Drosophila melanogaster: one gene and its partner. The protein of the gene in region 2 purifies or fractionates together with the protein of the main gene of each other region. This does not show direct contact. Each region holds a gene or a part of one and is shown on either strand. Other genes may lie near its edges.

Region 1 (3,118 bases), on a different chromosome or scaffold from region 2:
CATGCGGACTTGGTAAGGTTAATCTTTAGATTTAAATCATTCCCTTTTTGGTGAAATGGTGGAGCTGCCTTGCTTCAATATATATTGTGTCTTGTTTTCTATTCCATTTCGACAAATAAAATCTGCGGATAAAGAACTTTCTGATATACTTGAAGTAAACTTCTTGCATTGATTGAAGACTAAAAAGACGTAGCCTTTTATTTTGTCGATCGAACATTGTTATACAAATTCAAAAGGAGATGGCCAAAATCTTTCAACAAGTAAGGCACTAATAGCCGAAAATAAGTTAAATTAACAAAGAAATCAAGAAGCCAAGCATTTGTATAAAATCAAAGGCACAAAAATTGATTTGGAAACCAATTATGTGTAAAGCTATCTGTGTTTGCATTTCTTGGAAAATACATTTGCTAGTCTTGGCGACGTCATTTAAAGTGGCAATCTTCCGACTCAAGTTCCCAATGCAGTAAATCCACAAAGTACGCAATATTATTAAATATTTTCGACTTATTTTCCAAACTGCTCATATAAATTGTCAGTTCAAAAAGGGGTATCTTTGTTATAGAATTTATTCAAGAGTTTGTGTGTTTCTTCTGACTATGAATGTTACGGAGCCTTAAGACTAAGCACTACGGCTAACGATGCTCGACGAGATCGGGTTCCGAGGCGGGTGCTAGACCCTGTCCAGGGCCTCCACCATGACGATGCTGTTGCCGCGGATAACCTGGCCAGGTGGGAAAAACGAGTGAGTCGATAGTTTATGGCAGGGTATGCTGCGCATCTTACCACCATGCCGATGTTGTTCTTCGTGTTGTCCTTGCACTCCTCCACCGTGTCGTCCAGGACCACGTTCATGAAGGGATCGAAGCCTCGCAAAATACCGGTCACCGCGCGTCCGCCGTTCAGTTTCAGCATCATGCGCTTGTCCATGTATCTGCAAGTTGTATTGTTAATTGCATTTATGGAGCGCTATCTTTTTCCCACATGGGTTGCACTTACTTTTTCACCTCTGGGGGATGGGCCTTCGACATTTTGATGGTTTAATTTGCGCAAAATGGGAAAATTAAGTAAAAACGCGGACCGCAAGCTAGAGATGTCACTATTGATTGGAGCTATACTATCGTCTTGGTCACTCTACCAACTGGTCACACTTTCGGGCGGGAAAAATATTTTTCCGCCAAATTCGCTGGCTTTTAAGTGCTCACATAAATGAAATTTTCAAATAGCAAATAACATAGGAATAATCCTTCTAAATCGCAATATAAAAACATATATACAAGGAGTGGTAAATGACAGTATTCTATTAATGGCAAAACGATTTATTTAAACAGACGTCGCATCCGCATAAACGATCTTTCACACTTTTTATTAACGGTTAGTATAAATAAAAAAAAACATTAATCCTTAGTTTATTTAACCAATTTTGTTTGCTGAAATCGATTCTTGAAAGAGAAGCTGACATTTTTTTTATATATGCCTCCCTACTTCAGGCAGTGCGAACATACCGCATCAACGCGACTTGTAGCGGCCGTGTGAAAAGGCTATTTTGTGGTTAGCGCAGATCTGCGCTGCAGTGTGACCCCGGCTACAGGTATTTCGGCATCGCACAGGGTCACACTCGCCCAGGCACCCGTATAAAATCCCCGCCCCCCTGATCGACGATAGTATTTCGAAAAAAACGCGAGGAAAAGTCTGATGCGCGTTAAAATCGGAGCGCAAATCGTGCATATATTTTTTTTTACACACCGCGCGCCGTGTTTACGACTGAAAACGGAGACTGACTGAAAAGCCTTGGCGCACAAGCACGCAATGAAAACGCAACGATAAGAATGTGATATTGTGATAAATACATGATTCGCTGACAACTCTATTTTATATTGGAATGCATTCGAAATCGAACGCAGCGCAGCGTGTGTTGTTTACTTAACGATTTTCGGTGTTTGTTTGCCCAACTTGCGGCGGTGAAATTCAGCATTTTCTGATTTTCCATTTGCCAACGAAAGAGAGGAAAAGTGAAAAGTGCTATTCGACGAAGCGAAACGGAACGCAAAATCAAAAGAAAAACAGCATAGCTAAAGCTATGTGTAGTACATAGCCACATAAATTGCAAATTGAGGCCAAGAGACAAGAGAACCTGAAATCCACACAGATCTTGACGAGTGAGCTAACGATGGACAGGAGTCGGAGTAGCAGAGCTGCCAGCAGCAACCAGTTCATCAGGCCATGTGGCCTACTGACGACCGTCATCCTGCTGCAGACGCTTGTGTCGATGAGTTTGGCCATCGAGGAGATGTCGCCACCACCGGCCGCCCCGCCACGTCCATCGCCGCCGCCCACCGTGAAGCTCAACAAGTGCTGCCATTCGGGCGAGTATCTGAACGATGGCACCTGCATCGCCGGCAGCGAAGCCCTGTGGCTGCCCATGGTGTACTTGGTGCAGCAGCAGCGCTTCTTCGAGCCCCATGGCGCCAGTCCGCGATTCTTGAAGTTCCTGCCCAATACGAGACCCACGTGCCGAAAGGACCAGACGACGGAGATCTTTCGCAGCCGCGGAGCCAATGTGATGCTCTTTCCCAATGGCACGCTCTATGTGCGGGAACGCGCTCTAATGGTCCAGCCGTCGGATTACTGTGTCGACTGGGAGGTGGCCGTCGTTTGCTTGAACGACAGTCAGCCGATCAATGCTCTGGAGGATCCCGATTATGCAGCCAATCCTCTCGTGCAGCAGGAGCCGCCCAAGGCTAGCCTGCGACTGAGCAAGTGCTGCGGCAAGTGGGGCAGCTATAACACGCAGCTCCAGAACTGCGATCTGCAGCCCAACCATCAGGCAGCCGTCGATGGACTGCTGCGATTGTCGCCGCAGCTACCGGAGGGCAGCTATCAGACTAGCTACGGCCTGCCCGACTGTGGCCAACCCGGTGGCTACTCCATTGCCGGTGATTGGCAGGATGCCAAGCTGGATCGGAACACGGCCATGCTCCAGTTGCCGCACAAGAACCTCAGCGCCGGACAATACTGCCTGGAGCACACGCAGCGCGAGGGCGAGGTGAAGATCATAGCCTGCCAGCATTTGTTTAGCTCCGCGGCAGGAGCCGGCATCCACGACGGCTCCATTGGAGGC
Region 2 (2,970 bases):
AATCCGCACTGGGATTTTGTCAATTGCCACATGGTGAACTACTTGACGGACCAGCACTGGGACGGCTTTTTATCCGAAACGCTGAAAAGTGAGATCGCCGGCAAGGAAGATGTGGCTCTGGCCATAGAAGACCTATTTTGGAAAACTGATGAATCAGAAAGGTTTCCGGCATGGCGAGAATTCCTAGGCAAGAGCAAACAAGAACGCCTGTCGCTTCAGAGGGTCAGGGGAACTCCACGCAGCTAAGCATTCGGGAGTTTATGAGCGCCAAAAAGTGCCATGAGGTAAGTAAACCAACCATTTTAAATGAGAGTATTTTAGGAATTGATTAATCTCTCCGATTAGGTGGATCTAACAGCCGTTCTCGTGGACCAGCTTGTGAAGAACTCCGGTCAAGATTGCTTCATTGTAGACGCGGGCGATGGCAAAGGGTATTTATCCTCGCGCTTGGCGCTCCAGTATGGTCACCGCGTGCTCGGCATCGATGCGAACGCGGCAAACACCGAGAACGCATTGAATAGGAATCGCAAATTGCAGGTAGGCCGGGCTTACAAAATAAAGTTAGCTTTATTTCATTACGTTTGTAGACTTAGAAGTAAGGTGTGGGTGTATGTAGGTGAATCCATTGGCTAGTCGCGCATTTCGCCCTCCTCGTCGTCGTCCTCCATGCCCTTGATATACAGCACGTTGTTGCAGCGGATGAGCACCTCGCCAAGATTACCAGTCACGGAGCCCTCGATCACTTCCTCCGTGTTCGCCAGCTGCATGTTCATGTAGCCGTCGACGGAGACCAGGAAGCCCTTGTACTCCTGGCCCCACTTCAGCTTCACCAGCACCGGTTTTCCCGTCAGGCCGTTCAGGAAGGGCTTGGGGTTAATGGGCATACCAGCCGACATTCTGTTTATTTGATTTTTCCTGCCTTTTTTATAAAATATTACAACAAGCGTGCCGAAAATCGCCGGCTTTTCGCGTTTTTTTTGTGTAGTGTGACCACAGCTGCGCTGTGTAAACATACCAGAACAAGAAGAAGAATAGCATAGAAGAAGAGTATTGAAAAACCATTCAAAAGCGCCAAAATTAAAATTTTATTTAATTTCAGCGCGCTTGGAATGGCCTTACGGAACGAGCGGAGCTGCAAGTCCAGGGAATCACGCCCAAGAGACGTGGTAAAAAGTCGCCAGCCAGGGAGAGCACCAAGAGTGCGCCTGCCTTGGAAAACTACAAGACAACGGCAAAGTTTATAACCACCGAACTTAACTTTGGTGCCCTGCTGGCGGAGAATTTCACTCAGTTTAGACCGGAAGACAGTCCAAACATTTGCCTTACTGGATTGCATACCTGTGGCAACCTGGCCGCCACCTGTCTTCAGGTTTTCCACGCCCAAACGGACTGCCGGTTGCTTTGTAATGTTGGCTGCTGCTATCATTTGCTGCGGGAGCGCTATTCGCAGCAGGAGTTCTTTGGCAATAAGTCCCTGATGGAGCTGCAAACAGACTATGGATTCCCATTGAGTCAGTACCTGCGGGAGCGACAAGTGCGAATGGGTCGCAATGCGCGGATGCTGGCGGCCCAGTCAATTGAACGCACCTTGGACACCAAGGAGCTGCCTAATGTAACGCTCTACTATCGAGCTCTCTTGGAGATTCTGGTTTGCCGCCATGCGCCGGAGCTGAAAAACGAACTGCAGGTGGGCAAGGTACGGAAATTCGAGAGTTTCGAGGAGTACATTCAAAAGTGTGCCACCAAATTGGATGCTCCCTGGTTGGCAGCTGTTGAGAAAGAAGAACTTCAATCCCTGCTCCAGGAATATGCCGTGCATAAATACTTCTTGGATCTGTTCTATCTGCTGCGCATGTCCTTTGCTCCGGTGCTGGAGAGTCTAATTCTCCTGGATCGCCTGCTCTACCTCAAGGAACTTGGCTATGAACGCAGCTATCTGATAGATTTATTTGATCCCGTCATTTCGCCCAGGCATTTTGCAATTGTTTCTATAAAGCAGCAAACGCAACAATAATGAAATTCACAAATGCATCAAAAGCTTGACGAGAAAGCCGGTTGTGTTTAATTATTTATAGATTATAGCGTGCAATACTTTTCATATCGTATATGTATTGCGTTAACGCTTTTAAAAATCTAACTAAACCATAGCACACAAAAAGTAAATAAGGTTGTTAAAACTAAGAATCATTATAATAAATGTAATCATGACTTGTAATTATCTTAGAGTCCCTCTGGATTTGCTGTGGTTTGTTTGTCGTATTTTAAAGCTTTTTCCACCACACAGGTGAATTTATAAGTATGCACTTGAAATTGCTATCTCAGAACTTTTGAGACTTTCGAGTATAAAAACGCAAACAACATTTCAAATCGCCCCAAGTGCGGTGCGTAGAGCTTTAATTGTCGGTTGTGTACGCGGGTGCTCAGAATTTATAGATCCAATAAAAGTTTCCTTGAAATTGCTGGACAAACTTGTTGCGAATTAGGCCAGTTGCAAATAAATTGTGTGACTAAAAAAACCTGTATATTTTCAAAGTAAGTTATGAAATTCGGTATACAAAATTGTATATTTTAATTTGAAAAAGTGTGATATCCTTGAAAAAACCACACTTAATATGGAATTGAGGGCAACTGTGAAAATTAAGATTACTTGGTTACTGTTACTGTTACTAAAATAAATAGAGAACTGGTTTCTAAGAAATATATTTTGGACATTTGCTCTATAGAAATAGTAGTCTCATGTATAATTAATAAAGCTTAGGACGAAATCCTTGCTGGCAAATTTTTAGTGTCATATTTGCTGCCCGAAAAGATTTTCTATTTAGCTTTACAAGCAGCTTAATTGGGTGTAGATATGGCGGGAATTACTATAAGCGTATCATAAACACTCATTGTAATGCTCCCTATCATAACTAATTGTAATTCGCGTTGGAATGGAAAAGATAATGCCAGCTAAAAATAATTAAGACGGCT

The links.
Region 1: the proteins of SmF (region 2) and SNRPG fractionate together in Drosophila melanogaster (co-fractionation; one study listed by BioGRID). This does not show direct contact.

Annotation. Positions count from the first base shown.
Region 1 is NC_004354.4:16,639,310-16,642,427, forward strand, and holds SNRPG (small nuclear ribonucleoprotein G), read right to left. Parts: upstream 1,111-3,118; 5' UTR 1,029-1,110; coding exon 997-1,028; intron 932-996; coding exon 784-931; intron 722-783; coding exon 671-721; 3' UTR 501-670; downstream 1-500. Other genes in the region: mthl1 (methuselah-like 1), read left to right, coding at 2,168-3,118. UniProt on the Drosophila melanogaster protein: Plays a role in pre-mRNA splicing as a core component of the spliceosomal U1, U2, U4 and U5 small nuclear ribonucleoproteins (snRNPs), the building blocks of the spliceosome.
Region 2 is NT_033778.4:12,183,294-12,186,263, forward strand, and holds SmF (small ribonucleoprotein particle protein SmF), read right to left. Parts: upstream 1,018-2,970; 5' UTR 897-1,017; coding exon 630-896; 3' UTR 551-629; downstream 1-550. UniProt on the Drosophila melanogaster protein: Plays a role in pre-mRNA splicing as a core component of the spliceosomal U1, U2, U4 and U5 small nuclear ribonucleoproteins (snRNPs), the building blocks of the spliceosome.